Linked DNA regions of Drosophila melanogaster. The protein of the gene in region 4 interacts with the protein of the main gene of each other region in a pairwise test. Each region holds a gene or a part of one and is shown on either strand. Other genes may lie near its edges.

Region 1 (4,324 bases), on a different chromosome or scaffold from region 4:
CAGTTGTTACCCAGTTAGGCAGTAAAGCAGTAAAGCATTTCCCTCGACTCTTGCCGGTTCGGTTCATTCAACTAAATAATTTGAGTGGCATTCATGCAGGTCCACTGGCTCACAGCTCATGTTTCAGGATTCCCTGTTTGGTCCTGACTGCTGCTGTTGGTACATTCGTTTTGTAATTGTGTGGCAGGTGACGGCAATCTTCCATTGTTCGAGCTATGAAGGCCGAGCCGGGAGTTCGAGTTCGGTTTCTACTTGAACTCACCCCATGTCGAATTGTAAGGGCGAAAAGTGCCCCCTACGATAAGAACAAGCTGCAGTGCACACACACAAAGCCATTCGTTTTATGTGCCCTGCAATATACAATATTTATTTGAATTTAAGTCCTTTGTTTGGGACCTGAAATCCGCACACAGCGGTACACTGATTCCAGGGTTGTTTGCTTTGGCTACTATTTTTGACTTTGTCCAGGAGTTCGTCCATTCTTCCCACTCGCAAAACCATTTTCTGGCTCGTTTTGATCGTCAACTTTATTTGCAAAAATAAATCTTTATGGTTTTACATCGAAATTCAATCTTATCACCTTAAAGTTCTGGCCCTGACTAGCTCGCTTTCCTTGCATTGCAATAACTGATATAGAATCTGGCATAACCTACATACACTTAATCGATTGTACAGTTAATTATGGCTAATACCTGGTTCATTTTAAGAATCCTTATAGATAGGTCTTAAATCTAGAATGGCAAGGTACGTATCGCTTACACTAAATGGACAACCGATTTGTACTATATAGTCAAGAAGAATGCGAATATGTTGAGAAGAAGAGTGCTTTTTGGAAAATTGATTACCCTAAGCACTTTTAATTCAAATATTCACCAGAGATCCGCAAGAAGGAAGCCAATGAATACAAATATAATGGGAATTCATATGAATTAATAATGAGTTCGTGAAGCTTAACTTTGGATGTTTGACTTTAAATTGGTTAATCTATTGAGGATCCCTCTATAACATGAAACTAATTGAGTTCAAAGATTAGCGCAAGTGTGAAATATACAATTTTTAAAGATATTTCATTTTCAAACTTGATGATAATCTTAGCAGTCAATTAGGTGCCTCGCTTATTACCAATATCAACGGATTGCAGGAAAGTTGAGAAAAGTAAGGAAGGGAAATCCCGAGATAGGACCCATAAGTTACTTTAGTTATGTTTTTAAAGTAAGTCAAGGGCAAATCGCTTAGAGGAATTCCCCTTGATCAGTTTCCTGCAATTTCCGGCAATCTTTTAGTATATCACGCTGAAAACCCTAAGATCGTAGTTTGGCCCACAAAACTGTGCTACACCTGCGGGGCGAAGTTTTTGTAGCTGTGTTGATGTGGAACGGGATGCACGTGTGCCTGATCCTCCGGATAGTCCTTCCATGGCGGTGTTTGCGAGTAGAAGCTGCTCTGCTGGTGAATCCCAGAATCCAAGTTCGTAGAATGAAGATTGGCAGCTGCATCGAAGGATCCCCTGAACAGATCGTATTTCTCCTGCGAGAACTGCTGCGGGCTGGACTCCTGCTGGGGATTAGGCTGCAGATGGTGAGGCTGATGCGGCTGCTGTTGCTGTTGGTGGTAAAACCGCATGCTGCCTGTAAAGTCGAATCCTGGTGGCTGCTGCGGATAGTCCATGCCGTGCTGAAAGCCACCCATCGCCGGCGGCTGCTCCGCGTGCGATGCTGGAGCAGTCTGGTGCTGTGCAAGAGGCGCCATTCCCTGTCCATAGGGGAACATTCGTCCGAACAAGGGATACGGCTGTGGATTCACGAAAAGAGCATCGAAGAGCTCCTTGGTAATCCTCTCACCACTCAGCGTGAAGTTCTGCAGCTTCTCCAGATCCAGGTTGATTGAACCTCCGCTTTCCAGCACCTGCTCCAGGGCAAAGATGTAGTTGTGCGCAAATCGCAGAATCTCGATCTTCGTCAGCTTCGTCTCCTCGGGAAGCGAGGGCAGAGTGACGCGTAGTTTCTCCAGGGCATCATTCAAGTTATGCATCCGATTCCGCTCCCGGTCATTGGCCTTCATGCGGCGGAAACGCTTGATCTTCACCACTTGGGTTGGACTGCGCGAGCGAGTTACTCTGTTCTTGCCGACGGCATATTTGCGTTTCGGTCGCGGCGCATTGGGATCCTCTGGCGACTTCACCGGCGTACTGGTCAATGGCGGATCGAAGACGCCATTCGTGGCCCGACTGTTCAGATGTTCGACCAGTGTCCTGCCGCTCCGAGTGCTGTGATTGCTGCTCGTATCGAGCAATCCCACGAAGCCCGCCGGCGGTGAGCTGAGCGGTACGGCGTCCCAGGTGCCGCCGGAGTACGGTTGCGGGATCGCCGGAGTCGGCGGAGTGCCAAAGTCCAAGCGGCGTCGTGAGCTCAACTGGGCCTCCGTCTCGAAACTCTTCTCGTAGCCACTGTCGAAGGAGGCGTCGTCGTCGTCCTCGTCGAACTCGAAGGACTGTGATCCAGCGCTATAGGCATTGTAGCAGGCGGCCATGATCTCGTATCTGTATCACGGTGTGTATATCCTTTAGCACATTTCCGATTTACGATTTCCGCTTTGAGAGAGTTGTTTCTTCGCGTCTCGCGTGCCCGCACCAACTAAAAGCTGGCGAGGAGTGCGCACCGGTTTTATGTGCCCGGCCAGCCATTAAGCCCGCTGATTTGGGTCCGGACTAACAGGCATCAACCCTCGGCGCATTGTCGTCGGTCGTGGCGGCGCCATAGCGCAAAGTAGAGAGCACAGAACCCCGACACAAATCCCAACAGATATGCGCCGTGATTGCCGCCCGGGGGTGGCTTTTGCCAACTCACACACCAACGTCGTCTAGCTAGAACTGCCTGCAGCGGGGTGAACTTCCTGGAGATGGAGATTCGTTCTGCGGGCCGCCGCTACCAGTCAAAATACGAGCATTTTTCACGCTTCGCTGCGAGCGGTGCTCTCTAGGCCAATCGGAAGGATGTCTGCGTCCGAGGATCAGCGGTGTCGCCAACGGCATCATCAAAGCTCGTCTCTATAGTCATACCCTTCCTCTAGGGTTATTTAAATACAATGTGCTTACTGCACAGCTTAAACTTAATTATATTTATATTAATGAATGAGTAGTATTGTTGGTCAATTTAAGATATGCTTTATATTATAGTTAAATTAAAAGAAGAAATATTATATTATTATATATTTTGTAAAAATCACTTAGTTTAAGGATAAATCCAAAAATTATTTGAAATAGGGAATACTTTTGTTTAATATGATATCTTCGGATCATTACGACTTTGTTATATTTTCGGTGTAGGTATAATTTTCGGACGAGATTTAATCCATTTCCGTACTAAAAGATTTCTTACCCTTTCCTACATATATAGAGTATGTGTGCTTCGTGGACTAAATAAATTGTTATTTTGTTTTATCGCCACATCGAAATAATGCGATTGCAATTCAAAAGATTCAATTACCATCAACTCTTTCGCCTTTCGCAACTAAACCGCAATAATCGTTTAGGGCTTACGCCTGTCGCTAAACGGGTTAGTGGCACGTGGCCAGGATGCCGCCTCCACTTACCAAAAGCAACATGTGTATTCAACGGAAAGCTCTCACTCCCACAGGACTCCATCCTCCTGGTAGAAAACCCAGGCGTTGCCACGTGCCGCGGTCTTAACGGCTGCTCAAGTGGCAAAGTGTGCCGATGTGGGATTCCTATCTGTGGCAATCCTGTTAAAGGAGGATCGGAGTTGCAATTTCAAGTGGGCGACGGGTGCCACGTGCGGATTTGTTATGATATGCGGCAATTGCCGCAAATTACCAGCACGAGTGAGAACTTGAGTGTCGAGGGGGCTAATTTAGTAATATGCCACATTTCAGGCAGTTCCTCCTAATGGAAATGAATTGAGTGCTTTTGTTGAAAAAATATAAACCTTGCTTCAGTAATTGTGACACCATCAATTTTTTCTTTAATAGTGCTTTATAAGGTAGCTAAGTATGTTATGAAAAATGTACTAAGTAGAGCTGATGTTTGATTAATTTCCTTATAGATTTCAAAACCAAGATAGTTTTATATAAATAAACAAATACTTAATGGTATACTTATTTATTTATTTTTTAATCAGTTTTCTTGTATGATCAGTACAATGAGTGTTTTCGTAACTTATAAAATATATTTATATATATATAAATATATTTATATATATAAATATATATAAATATATTTATATTGAAGTTTTAAACAGAATATTAATGGTAGTTTGTATCAATATCTTTATAAGAGCTAAGTACTACTAACAATGTTTCTTACATG
Region 2 (4,741 bases), on a different chromosome or scaffold from region 4:
ATTTAAATTTCGGCTTGTTTAATTTAAGTTCTGATTGCTGATTTTCGTATGGATGGAATGCGCATTTTCCGCCCTGCCAATGCACTTTCGGTATAAAGGTGGATTCTCGCATTTGCCGCTTGCATTAACTTTGGGGGCGCCCTTTTGTCAATTGTACGATTCGTCGTTGTTTTCCTCAGCTCGGGACTTATTTCACTTTTCATTGCCTCTTTAATTGCAAATGGTGCGACCCACTTTTTGGCCAAGTCTCGGGTCACCACCATCTCAATCGCCGCACACTGACCGAAAAAAGGTGGCAAAGGGGAGACCCCAAAGCAACGCCCGCGTAACACTTTCGATTTTTATTTCCTCATTACATGCTTGCCAAAAAAAAAAAAGAAAAGACAAATTAAAAATAAAACTCAACCACATGCACAAGATCACAGCAAACCAGAAAAACGTACAAAAAGCTGAAATAAAATGAAGGGTTTGTATCTCTTTTCTTGCAGTCACTATATGTCGTCGAGTCTTTTGTTTTCCCATTACTCTGCGGCCCTTTTTTAACGAGCTCCTTTTGTTGCAGGCCGTTTTGCAATTGCCACGCATTTAGTTGATTAACCAAATGCGTCATAAGGCCCGGAACGCCCCGCTCTCGGATTCTCTGGATAAAATCTATGCCGCGAAAGCAATCGACCTCTGGAGCCCCTCACATCGCAGTTGCCAGACATTAGCGCTCACGTGGCCAATAAAAAACAAAATAACCTGTCGAACTCTTGGCCAAAAGCACTCGAACTGTCGATGGGGCGATCAGTCGGTCAAGTGTTTCGGCAAAAGAGCTCGTTGATTTGCCGATTTTGCACTTAAATTGTTCGCGCTTGTCTGATTTTTGTTTTTGGTTTTTGGCCAATTCGCTAACTTTGTACATTTTTTATGTGCTTTTGTTTTGTATTTTTACGGCGATTTGCAGCTCTGTAATCTGATAAGGGTTTCAAGGAACGATTTAAATAAAAGTATTCGGTTTTAGGTATAAGCCAAAATTGGGGTCAAAAATGCATGTTGCACAGATTGTGTACAAAGGATTAAGAATGATGATCTGGAATATGTTAAAATGCTTCTCTTATTTCTCAAATCTGTGCATTGTAAAAACAATAATATTATGTAATTGCTAAGTTCTATGAATATTTTGCATTCGCTGCGCTTGACGTCTCATCTGGCCATATTTCTGGACCAGAGTGTCTAATTCTCGTCAAGCTTCAGAGTTCCATTTTCTGAGAGTCTCGACTTTTGTTTGAGGTGTTCATGTTCATGTGAGTTTGGACCTCGGTTCGAGTGCCCTTAGGTTGTTTCGCAATTATTCAGACCGTCTGTCTGTCTTTTGGTTTTTCAGTCTTTCAGCGTTGCAGCTTTTCAGCTTTTCAGCCAGCGTCTGTGGCTTTAGACGCTTTAATTTGCGGATAATTTTATAGACATTAACATGCAGTTTTCCTCACTCACTTTTCATATTGCTTGAAATTATTTGGTAAGTCATGTTGCATTTTGTCTAATGACTTGACGAATTAACATTTTTTTACAATCTCTTACTTTTGTTATTTGCATTCGATTCTTTTTGGCCCAGAAAAATTCCCATTTCAATGGTCTTTCGTCTCACAATGATTTGCTGAATTCTAAATCGGTTTCTGTGGCTATGGCGACTTTTGGTTCTTTTGTCAAATATTTGAGTCGAAACCCGTTTTCGTTTCCTATTCTGCATATATATTAGTCGAAACTTATAAATTGTCATCGAGTTACTTAATATTTGAGTGCTCATGCCTACAGCCTGAGCGATCTTCGAGTGGAATTCTAAATGCGAATTCGACGTTTAGTCTTTTGTTTGCTTCCCCAACCTTTCCTCTTCTTTTTGGGTGGGGCATTATGAGCTTTTTTCTAAGGTTTACTTTGTTTCGAAATACAAACACGAAATAGTGTGGGACTTTGGCTGCCCGCTAAATTGAAGTATTTTCGAAATAGCCCCAAACCTGGAAGAGGGGGAGGGGGGAGGCTGTCATTAAAAGCAGCGCCTCTAAACACAAATCATAGTTATGAGCAGTAAATTACAACCAAATGCTCGGCAATTAACCGAGAGTGCAGCTAACGGATAATTACACGGCGGAACTACCTAAGCCACACTAAGTCTGATAAGAGATTTTAGCCCTGATTGAGATCTCAGACTGTTTATATTTGTATTTCGATATGGAGGCGTCCATCATTAGGCAACCATTCATTATTGATTCGAGAGATATTCATTATTGGTTGCAGTTAATGAAGCGGCTGTGGCAGTGGCATTGGCAGCGAAATTCTTCGATTCGCTGATTGAACTTAGCATTGCAAAGCACTTTCCGGGTGGCACTTAATGTGTTAAACATTGGCACAATTAATTAACCACAGCACCTGTTTATCCGCAGCCAAACTCGATGACTTTGATACACAGTAAACAGAGACAGGGACAGAAAGAGAGAGCTGGGAAGATGATCGTGACAGGTGTGAGAATGTGTTTTGGGGGCAAAACCGATCGACGAGCTTAGAAGCAATTATCTGTGCGGAATTTTTGGGGATTTTTTCAATGCACCCCCCCCCCCCCCCCCGCTTATATTTGCACTTCACTCAAAGCAATTTTCTTCGCATGTTTTTTTTTTGTACATTCGTTTACGCTCAACCGGCACGCCGAGCTGTCAGCTGAGTGATGAAAAAAAGTGAAAAAAAACACAAAATTGCACATAAATTAAAACGTCAACAGAAGAACAAACAAACGAGCTACGCGCACTTTGTCAACGATTATTATTACTTTAACAAGACATCAGGCGAATAATATACACACTTTTGTAATTTGTTGGCTGACAACTGATGAAATGGTCCCTACACATAGAGGGATTTTAATTGAATATATATATTTTTTTTTTACTTTTGTCTTGCGCATGCGCGACGACCGACCGGCCACGTTTTGAATTTTGGCTGTATTTCTCGTCTCGACGGACTGGCGGTTGTGACTGCGACTGCGCGAGTCAACGAACGAATTCGTAGTGAGTTACTAGGTTTTCAACTGAGTTCCAAAACCGGCAACTCGAGACTCGCCAGCCGATCGGACCACGATCGACTATATGGCTTTGGCTTCGGTTTTCATTCGCTCGCCTTGAGACGGTCACATAAATTGCATGCGATAAATGCGACGATTGGATTTGAATGGGTTTTCGCTTAATTTTAGGTTTTGTTTGCACGACTCTGGTACGCGACATTTCCTCAGATTTCACTTCCCCATTAATCTCGCGTTCTTGGTCAATTACAAAACAATTAAAGCGGCAAAACGCAGTTAATTGTGGCGGCGGCAGGGAAACTTGAAAACTCGAACCCAAATCGCTGGCGTTTTTCGCCAAATGCAGAAGTAATCAACGGCGCAGGAGGGGGACAGCCGGCGGTGCAATCAGAATGATAATTGCTGTCATGACAAACGCAAAAATAAAGTTTAAATAATAATAATTTCACTAGCTGCAGTTGCAGAATTCGCAGGATATCGCTGCAAATGGGCTGCGACAAGGGGCGGCAACATTAAGAAACCATTAGCAACAGCAGCCCTGTTGGCAACTGTCAAAAAGCGAAGCATAACACTGCGAGAAACAAATTAAATTAAAAATAATCCAATTAATAAATAATTCATATATTAAGTAAATCTCTATAGAATACTATATTATTACTAAGTATGGAAGGGAGCCCACATAATATATATCTTAAGGCCATAGATTGATTTGAAGTTAGCATATATTTCTTTTAGTGCAGCAGTAACGGTTTCTGCCCCCATCAGCAGCAGCTCAAGTAACAGCTGTGGCAGATGAGTGGGCGCTGCGCTGAAGGGTCAATGCAGTCGCAGTCACAGTTTCCGATCACAGTTCGCAGTCACCGCATCAGCGGCATCATTTTTCAAGTGGACCACTCGACGAGCGGCAGTAGCAACAAAAAGCAGGGGCGGTGGCCAAGCGGCTGCTTCAGGGGGCGCCAGAGTTTGAGGACCGCCTCTTCTGGGCCTCCACAAATGTGCCCATTCATTAGGGTTTAATAAATAATTTTTTTCCTCCTTTGCGGAGTTCCTTTTTTTTTGTGTTATTTTGTTTGAGGAGCACAGTTGGCGAGACTTTGACAAGCATCTTCCATACAGTCCACCCCCTTTACTCGACCAGCAGGGGTTGACGTTTACCAGCATCTGGCTTTGTGTGTCAAGTGGCGCTGCACAAACAACCGACTCGGGAGCTCGGGAAGGGCAAAGGATTAGCAGTGAGTTCCGGGATAATGTGCTAACCTCCGGGTGGATGGATGAATAAAATGTAGCTCATTGAGGTACAAAGTTTATAATCGGACATTTTAGGGCAAAGAATTTCGGTATGAGATGTATATTTGAGGTTTTGCATTTAGTGCATCTAGATTTGAATATTTATTTATCATTGTTTTATGATGAACACCAGTGCTTCAAAAATTATGCTCAAATGAACGGTGTGTGGTATAAGTATTTCAATGTGGTTTCTTAAGCTGTCTACCAAAAATTGCTCCGCTATGTTTTCGACTTTATTATGAGTTAAATTGTGTAAAGCAAAGTATCTTTTCTGTAATTATATGAATAATAAAAGCCGATATGGCCTACCACTTATTTTGTCATTATCTTGAATAATTATTTTAACAATTATGTAAAATGAAATTGTGCAACTCCAGTGACCACCATACAGCTGAGCCACCGTGGAAC
Region 3 (5,772 bases), on a different chromosome or scaffold from region 4:
CTTATTTTGAGATTCATGATTCCGTTCTGTAATTATAATGATTTTCATTGTGTAATCCTTTATGTCCTTGAACGTATTTGTATTACCCATTTCGCTGAGTGTTTAATCTAGTTTCTCGTGCCAATAATAAATTATAATAATAGCATATTTATAAATTCATTATAACTTCTATGTGCTATGATTATAACTGAAAGTCCAAGCGAACTATAAAATGAAATCATAAATAAAAATCGGGAATTAAACAGTTATTTATCGAAGCTTGTAATTATGTTAACCCTTATATGGCTCCTTTTTTTTAAATTATAAAATCTTAAACTTTTTATTGAGTTACATTAAGAACCCAAAATTATTCAGAATAGCAAACACAAATCGTTTCGAAAGCCAAACTGTTAGTCAATTATTTTATCTTTTCAATTATCCAACTATCCACTTCAATTTAAAATCATAAGCTTACATATTAATGCGATTTTTTTTGCTGACTCACCCATATATATTCATAGTTCCTAATTCGTTTAATTCTCAAAAGTTGCCGCAATCAGAACACATTTTGTTGATTTTACACATTTGATTTATTTAAATATACATATCGATCAATAGTCTTTCATATATTTAGTTACATACAATATAATACATATTGATTTAATTGGTGTTTTCGTACGTTTTCGTTTTTGCGGATTTGTGTTTTGAATTCGTTTTACATCAATTGCTTGTCGTTACGTTTGTTAATCGTATTATTTACGTTTAATTTTATAATGCAGCGATGCAATGCAGTTTGGTGGTAGTAAAACGAAATAAAAAAAAACTTATACCATAACTTGCTTATTAGTTAACAATAATCAAAAGTGTTAAAAGCGATATGCCATGTATATGTGAGGAAATTGCACCTCTGTGTGTGTGTGTGTGTGTGTGTTTTTTCTTCTTCTTCTCAAATTATATTCTGTTTTTTGTGTAATACTTCGAAAGTTCAGCGTTTTGAATAAACAAGTGGAACGAGTGTGTGTGTGGTGGTGTCTCCGATTTGTGTGCGGATCAGACAATGGACGACTTGTCCAGAAAGGATGAGGTCTCCATCAGCAGCTCGCTGCTGCTGCTCAGAATGTCGTACAGCTGGAGCGGTGCATCTCCGGCGATGGGATTCCCGAAGGGAAAGAACGACGACAGGGTCGATAGCTGCAGATTGCCGGTAACCGATGTGAGTCCGCTAGTGGGTGTGGCGGCCTTCGCCGTCGGCTTCCTGCGCCGCTCCACACCGTCGACGAACTCGGCCTCGTCCTCCTTGTCGGGCTTCTCGTCCTTGTGCTGATTGGGACGCGATTCGCCGGCGAACTCGTAATACGCATCGGGTAGATCGTCAAAGTTTTGATAATCCAGGCAGCGCTGTACCTTTGCTATGTTGCTCAGCAGCAGGCGATGATAGAGATCCACCTGCGGCTGGCCGCCGCCGCGTATATCCAAAATGGGCAGCCAGCGGTAGTAGCACTGATCCCACACCTGCAGATCGAAGATGCGATGTGCCGGCTGCAGGTAACGATCCTGCGGCACTGACGAAGCGGTCGCAAAGAGCTGCGGATTGATGGTGTTGCGCGAGGGTGTGACACCACTAGCGGCGCCATGCGCTCCCTTACTACCCACCGCCAGGGATCTGCGATGCGCCACGGCAGCCGCCTGGGCGCCAAGATCGCCCCTTTGGCGCTGGTACAGCGGATTGCTAAAGAACATTTTGTCCTTGTCCGAGAACTGCTCGCCCCAATCCCAAACGGGACGCAGGACGAGCTGCGAGTCGGTCACCGCCTTCAGTCGCTGGGCCTGCGTATCGAACTGGAAGGTATCGAAGATGGGCATGAAGCACGAGTCCCACAGCGTGGTCAGGTATGTCTGCGTGAACTCGAACTCGTCGGGGAACTGCTGCAACAGCTGCCACACGCAATCGAGGAAGAGCAGAAACACTGGACTCTGTTCGCTGTCGAATAGTTCGGCATTACCGCCGGCCGGCTGGGCAGGATAGACATGACCCAGGCGTCGCTGAAACGGATGCTCCAGGGCCACCCACTCCTTCTGCACCAGCGATTGGAAGCCATCGATAGTACGGAAATGCGGATCGAGCAATAGCTGCGCCAGACTGCTAATCACACAGCAGAGATCACGGCCATTCGACTCCTGGAGGACACAGGTAACGCCGCTGCGCAGCGTGGCAGACGCTTCACTAGCATAGCGTAGGCACAACGACACATAGAACAGCCAGTTGGTCTTTTCGAGTAGTCCCAGGTACTTGTCATCCTGCAGCATAAACTTCTCCGGCGTTTCCGGCGTGCATAGGCGCCTCAGCTTCTGATAGGCGCGCAGCACATCCTGAATGCTCGGCAGGCGATCCGTCAGCTGTAGGAGCTTCAGCTGTCGCCCCGCATCACATTTGCGCACCAGCTCCAGCATCACATTCTCCGATTTGGTGTCCTGCTGCGCAGCCGGCTGCAGTTCAGCTAATCTGACCAGTGCCGCGCTGCTCCCATAGCTATACACCCAGAAGGCAGCTCGTGAATCGCAGAAGGCGCGCGACAGATCCAGGAATCGATCCACGCTGCAGCTCTTCGGTATGACAAAATGCGGCGGCACAGTGTACTTGCCCGCCTGGAGGGGATTCTGCAGCAGCTGGACACTGGCACAGCTAACCACCTGCCACTCGGTGGCGCCGCAGCGTATCAGCTCTCTGGCCCAGTCGTTTTTCGTCGCATACATACTAGTGCCGGATGCGCCCAGTGTCGAATAGTATGGCTCTCGATGAGCATAGGCGAAGCTCAGATCATGCCGCATTGGATAAGCGAAACGCACCAGGGCCGAGGCAATCAGTTTGCCCTGATCACTGGCCCCAAACATCTTCGAATCCTGCTGCTGGAAGGCGAATTTCAGCAGGCGAAAGTTCTTGCACACGATATGCAGGGCGGCGATGCGACCGCTGATGTTCTGCTGCTTGAAGGGCTCCAGTTTTTTGCGCCTGCTCATGCCCGCATGGCTGGCCATGCCTCGCGCCGCCTGCAGCGCACTGGCCGCCCGTCCCAGCTCGGTAATGGTATAGATATGATCGATGTTGTTTAGCGTAATCTCATTGCGGCCCAAATAGGTATTCTCCTGATATAGATCGATCAGTGGCGCTGTGATCGCTTGATTACGCTTTTCATGCAGCGGCACAAAGGCCAGCTTAAAATTGGTGACACTCAACAGTCCGAAGGTGGCCTCTTTGTGATGACGATCCGCTGGCGTACCGGACGCAGATGATATGGCGCTGAGCGTAGAGCCACTGCCTCCGCTGCTGTCCATCGGATCGATCGGTGAGTACATGTAGGCTGGTGCCGATGCCACTATCTGCTCGCCGTGCAGCAGTCGCGGCTTGGCCAGATGGACGTCCCTCAAATCGCTGGGCAGGCACCATTCGTTCGTGTCCGCTGTGGCGCGCAAATCTCCGGGTAGCGGTGCCACATAGCTGGTGAAGGTGTTGCGCTTGTGGTGGTCAGCATTTCCGGCGGATCCCGCTCCCCCGTGGCCGCTGCCACCGCCGCCCGTGGCCATTATTTAGTCGGTGGTACGTTGTTGGAATATTCAATTATTCACCACTTCCTGTCTGGCGGGGAGGGGGGGGGTGGGTGTCGGCGCTAGCTTTACCGTTATTCCGCTGCTGTCTGTGTGCCATGCAAGCAACGAAAGAAAGCGGAATTTGGAGCAAATGAATATATGACAAATGGAAACAGATGAGGTGACAAGTGGAGCAGCAAAACTCGAATTATCGAATCTTTTCCATTCACGTTATTTTCGAGGGGGGGGGGGGGGTGTGATAAGTTTTTATCAGTTGGAACGCAACTTACCGTTCGGATTACTACCTGTGTGTGCGTGTGTGTGCGAGCGATCGCCGTTTTGTTGTTGCCGCTGCCGCTGCTGCTGCTGCGGCTGTTGTCTCTGGATTTTGGATTTTGGTATTTCGGATTTCGAACTTCGAATGCGTTTCGAGCGGGGTCACTCGTTGTTGGGGTCATCCAAGTGCACCATCTGGCGCCTGCACACACGCACCGTCGCTCGCAATGTGCATTTATTTACTTATTTTTATTCGCGCACTTGGTCGCCACAATTCATACGACACACTGACACACACACGCACACACATGCACGCACATGACACTAGGTGCAATCGGTGCTGTGTGACCAGGCGCCGTCGATTCCAGTATTTCGTGAGCGCGTCAAGCAAACGGCGATGACTAAGCGTTGCTCGTGGAACGATGGAAAGTGAAAAGTGTGGCAGTTCTTTTTAATTTTAATTTGCTTTAGAATTTTACATTATTTTATTTATTTAGTTTTTCGTTTGGCGGTGAATTCGAATAAAATAAAAATGATTAATCTTACTATCTACCACGACTTAAGTTTATAGGACTCAAGAAGGTATATAAAATATGCAATTAAAAAGAATTGCAATTGAATAGACTACCTTAAAGGTAATTTCTTTAAGGACATTTCAGAAAATTTTATAGAATAATTATTCACAGTTTTTGAGATAATGGCATTACAGTGGGAACCGCCCATATTCTGAGTTCCAATCGCAAGTGAATAAAAGAAATTTGTTTGTTTTTATTTGATATCTCGTAATAATATATTCGTAATAACTGAGAAATTTTTTTTATTTACTTATCGATATTTGCCTAGGAATAGAAGATAACGATAGTTTCTACGCGCTTTGCAACGGTAAAAAGCAGCTGACCAGAGCTTTTTGCGCTTGCCAAACGCAAAAGCTCCGGAGCGTGTTGTCATAATTGTGTCTGCAAAAGCTCGCTTGATTCCATTCCACGATTGATTCGATTTGCTTTGCTTTTGCTATTCGCGATGTGCCGTGGAAAATGAATCGCATTCCCAGATGCAATTGACCCACTGAACGAGCCCGCTGCCCCGCTGCCCTGCTGCACTGCATCCATTACGGCAACTCCACGGTGAAATCCAGGCAAGACCCGAGAATCGACCACCCCAATCCCCCTCCCCCACAAATCAGCCAGGCACCATGTCAACGGAGAGCAACACGCCCGTGGATCCGAGGGTCCAGGTAGGTACCACCTACACACATACATACATACACCTACATATGCCAAACAACCTAATCCTCGGGAGCCCGCTTAGGTGGAGCTGGAGAAGCTGAACTCCGCCACGGACAACATCAACCGATACGAAGTGGAGCTCGATGTGAGTGGGCGAGTATTGATTTTTCCCCAGTTACCCCAGTTACTTACCATTATTGCTTGCGATCTCTGTCCCAAAACAAACCAAAAAAAAAAGGAGGCCAAGTGCGAATTCAAGCGTTTGCTGGCGGAAAGTGTGGTGAGAATCAAGGCAGCCGCCCACAAGCTGGGCAACTCGATTGATGCCGCCAAGCCGTACTACGAATCTCGCATCTACGCCGCCCAGTTGGCCAAGGAAACGCAATTGGCCGCCGCCAACCACGAGAAGGCCAAGTCCATTCATGCCGCCGCCAAGGAGATGGTCTACCTGGCCGAACAGGGTCTGGGCGAGAAGTCGACGCTGGACACCGCCTGCCAGGAGATGCTTAGCCACGCCGCCAGCAAGGTCAATCAGTCCCAGCTGGAGGTCACCGACACCCGCAATGCCCTCAAGATGTGCCAGCTGAAGCTCGAGGTGGCCAATAACCGGGTCGGCAAGCTCCAGGGTCAGCTTAAGCAAGCGCTTCGGGCATCCAGGTAAAGTTCATGGGGTTCCCTTCAAGGAATACTGCTTAAGAACCAAGAA
Region 4 (3,428 bases):
TACATACATAGATAAGGTAGTATAAAGTGCATGGCCATCAGCAACTCACCGGATCCGAGAGCATTGTGCGTATGTGCGAGGCGAAGGCCAGGAAGGCGAGTGCCTGGAATATGATCATGTTGATGGTACTGAAGACGGTATAGTTGCTGGGCAGAAGGATCAGCCGCATGACCACGAATTCGGCGAACAGGATAAGCAGCCAGGTCATGATTACGCACACAATGCCGCAGATGTCCTTGACGCACCAGGCCTTGTTTCCGCAACATCGGTTGTGCTGGTCAACGCCACCGAATCCTCCGCTACCGCCGGGCGACAGCGCGGAGTACGAGTAGTTCATGGTGTCCGGATGCAGCCCACGCACATGTGACGCATCGGCCTCGTCAATTCCGTGATAACGCCACCGGACTGCGGACCATTAGCCAAAAGGCGTTTGATAAACAGCAAACGCAAAGCAAGAAAACACAACTAGCAATGTGCCATTCGCGTCCGCGGATATGGCGTCAGCTGTTTGCCATTCGCCCAAGGGCGCTGACAGGGTGAGGATAACCAAGGTGACGGTTTAATAAAATCGTTTGTTTATCATTCAGCTTAATCCGAGCACAAATACAAATACAATACATACAACACTTAAAATAGATACAAGGAAATACAGGCCCTTATCTACAAAGTTTCCAATATCAGGTGTTATGCAGGCGTTAGCTTGGCCCTCGGTTCCAGCAGAGCCCAGAGTCCAGCCAGCGATGAAATTGCCCCCAGGAGTCCAATTGTCCGGGGCGTGAGACTTGTGTAACCCAGAGCCGTCAGCGGAATGAAGAAGTCGCACGCATTCTTCACCGTGTCCACAACTATGTCTTTGTGTCCCTGCATCAGCACGTAGGACTGCAGGGCAAGGCGCTTAAAGTCCTCCGGCGAGTTGATGCTCGCGGGGATGCGGCAGCGCGAAATGCCGCTCTTGCTACCGGATCGATGCAGGTCCAGTACTCTCAGGATCTCGTAGAAGTCCCGGCACAAGTTCATTATGATCGAGAAGAGCCAGTACTTATTGGCGATGTTGGACCAGCGCTTGGCGTTCACCGCCGTCAGTCCCGTCCTGGCCAGCCAGAGGAAGTGATCGGCGAAGAGGAACAGCGATTGTGACAGCTTGCTTAAGGTGAGCGTCACACGGATGTTAAGATCCGGATGGTGAATGGTCTTCAGAGCGCCGTAGAATACATCAACGCACTTACCAAAGCGGAGTACTGAGTTGAAATGAGATTAGCTACGTGCTCGTGGAATACCTTAGAATACCTACATTTTCGGAATGTGCTCAGGATGTATTCAACCGTCTTGAAGTTGTCCACAAGCGCTGGATTGGAATTGGCGGACTCCAGCGAGTCCCACATTGCACGCGAGGCATACTGAATAAGTCGGGCGATTTTGTCCCGTCCGCCAGCCTGATTGTTCAACTGCACCAGTTGATCCATATTTATGTTGTGACCGCACAGCTCGTTGGACAGCTAAAATCAAAATTATGCCAAATCCAAAATCCAAAGTTCGATTATTAGGCTGAGGGCCCAGCAGCTGTTCTGCCGCTTCACTGTGAATGGCAAGTTTTTTTTTTAATAAACCAGCACCGTGGGCGTAGATTGAATATATTGTGGGTGCAACAATTTGTAAATAATATATTAAGAGCAAATTAAAATAAGTAAATTGCTTAAGTACCTTTCCATTACAGTTTTAAATGCTATATTTACCCTTAATATCACTTTCCCTCTACGGCCATGCTTAACATAAGTAATGCGCACGTTTCACAGCACTGTCGTTTCAACACCGTTTTGTTCAGTTGAAGACGTCGCCACGTAAATAGTGGTCCGATTTTAGATTTTGAAATAGCTGACACACAACTTGCAATCCCACCATGGCTGTAAGTGTAACTAGCACAGGGATAACGCTCTCAAGGATTACATAAAACCGCTTGTCCACTTTCAGCCCCAGCAAAAGGGTAAACAAGGCACGAAGGGCGCCAAGCAAATCGTGGAGGAAAACAAGACTACACTGACTTTCTACCGGAACATGGCCATTGGATGTGCTGCACCCGCTCTGCTCCTCAGTTTCCTGGTCTTCGAAGTCACCAAAACCTCAGTGGTAGGCCGCCGAAAATCCCCCTCAATGAACTCAATCATCAGCCTCTCGTTCTTTATTAGTTTATGCACATTCTTTCGTTGCTGATCCTGGGGAGCTCCTACCAGTTTATGGCGTTCATGTCGCAGGCCAAATACTCTGAGAGCGGTGCTCTTTTGGACTCCGGCAACGACTTAAATATGGAAGGCGGCATCGCGGAGTAAGTGCACCCACAGAAGCTTTGAAGTACTCTGCCTACACATGATTCTCCCTCTAGAAACGTTAAGGATTTGATCATCCTTACTTCCGGCACCCTGCTGCTGGCCCTCATCTCAAACTACTTCTGGTTGGTGCTGCTTTTGGCGCCCATACGAGCTGGATGGATGCTCTGGGGCTCCGTCATCCAGCCGTGGCTGTCGCAACGCAACGCCCAGGACGATAATCCCCAGGTGGACGAGAAAAAGCAAAAAAAGATGGATCGCAGAATGCGTCGCATGAGATAGAAGCCACTTTCCGAGTTGACCTGGTGGTTAAGGGGTTCCTGGTTTTAATGAGATTCTACGCTTAGTTGTGTGTGCGTTTCCAATTTGTTAATTGTTCAGCAAATTAAACTGCTCGAGACAAAGACAATTCATTGTTTTAGTTAGTCAAAGCATTTGTGCGATTTAATTGCGGTGAATTTTTAAAGACGCAAACTTTGCGAGGGAAATTGCATTTCCTCAAGGCTGCCTCCCATTTTTTGTGCATTGTAAATATTCGTGTAATTGTTTATAAATAAATGTGCTTCAGTGCAGCAGGAACTAGTGCAGTGTCCGTTTCTCTTCGAGATGCTGGCAAAGGAAGCGTGGGATTTAAAGAACAAATAGTAAAGGAAGGGTGACAAAAATAAAATTAAGCTTTTGCAACAATTTATTCTCTTGTTGTCTAGACAATTGTGAGCATCCAAACTAAAGTATAAAAGTATCAAATAATGTTATGCCGGGTACTGGTGTGTTGTGCGGCTCGGAGCACTAGATTTAACTAGGTCTAGATTCCAAAACCCCTAAGGGCTCCGGGGACACGCAGCGCTTACAAAAACAACGAGGGTAATGATGGTAACTTAAGAACTTTAAATGCAGGATAAGTGAGAGGGAAAGGGATCTGGGGAGAGTCACATGCGCGGATAGACCTCAATGGATCCTTCCAGCCAGCGGAGCGGGTGACCTCTTTGCCTAACATCATACATCTGTGCTTAACTACAACAACTTCCGAATAATATATATGCTTGTATATACGTAAATATATATATATAACATCGTCGCGGCTTCATCAGCACGCCTTAGTTGTAC

The links.
Region 1: the proteins of CG8320 (region 4) and tap interact in a two-hybrid assay, tested with the Drosophila melanogaster proteins (one large-scale study listed by BioGRID).
Region 2: the proteins of CG8320 (region 4) and lute interact in a two-hybrid assay, tested with the Drosophila melanogaster proteins (one large-scale study listed by BioGRID).
Region 3: the proteins of CG8320 (region 4) and CG14411 interact in a two-hybrid assay, tested with the Drosophila melanogaster proteins (one large-scale study listed by BioGRID).

The regions. Positions count from the first base shown.
Region 1 is NT_037436.4:17,357,998-17,362,321, reverse strand, and holds tap (target of poxn), read right to left. Parts: upstream 2,641-4,324; 5' UTR 2,530-2,640; coding exon 1,333-2,529; 3' UTR 511-1,332; downstream 1-510. UniProt on the Drosophila melanogaster protein: May play a role in the specification of the sugar-sensitive adult gustatory neuron and affect the response to sugar and salt. Regulated by POXN.
Region 2 is NT_033777.3:17,378,228-17,382,968, reverse strand, and holds the start of lute (lute), read right to left. Parts: upstream 3,026-4,741; 5' UTR 2,834-3,025; intron 841-2,833; exon of another isoform or gene 563-840; intron 467-562; exon of another isoform or gene 202-466; intron 1-201.
Region 3 is NC_004354.4:14,831,043-14,836,814, reverse strand, and holds CG14411 (uncharacterized protein), read right to left. Parts: upstream 4,169-5,772; 5' UTR 3,870-4,168; exon of another isoform or gene 3,855-3,869; intron 3,672-3,854; 5' UTR 3,562-3,671; coding exon 1,030-3,561; 3' UTR 553-1,029; downstream 1-552. Other genes in the region: CG14410 (uncharacterized protein), read right to left, coding at 1-90; CG14408 (uncharacterized protein), read left to right, coding at 5,033-5,074, 5,149-5,211, 5,305-5,723.
Region 4 is NT_033778.4:15,990,810-15,994,237, forward strand, and holds CG8320 (uncharacterized protein), read left to right. Parts: upstream 1-1,598; 5' UTR 1,599-1,636; intron 1,637-1,774; 5' UTR 1,775-1,897; coding exon 1,898-1,903; intron 1,904-1,968; coding exon 1,969-2,124; intron 2,125-2,183; coding exon 2,184-2,320; intron 2,321-2,377; coding exon 2,378-2,603; 3' UTR 2,604-2,898; downstream 2,899-3,428. Other genes in the region: CG8314 (uncharacterized protein), read right to left, coding at 50-337; Pex11ab (peroxin 11a/b), read right to left, coding at 685-1,238, 1,292-1,463; ATPCL (ATP citrate lyase), read right to left, coding at 3,419-3,428. UniProt on the Drosophila melanogaster protein: May play an important role during development and helps to maintain proper levels of Fz.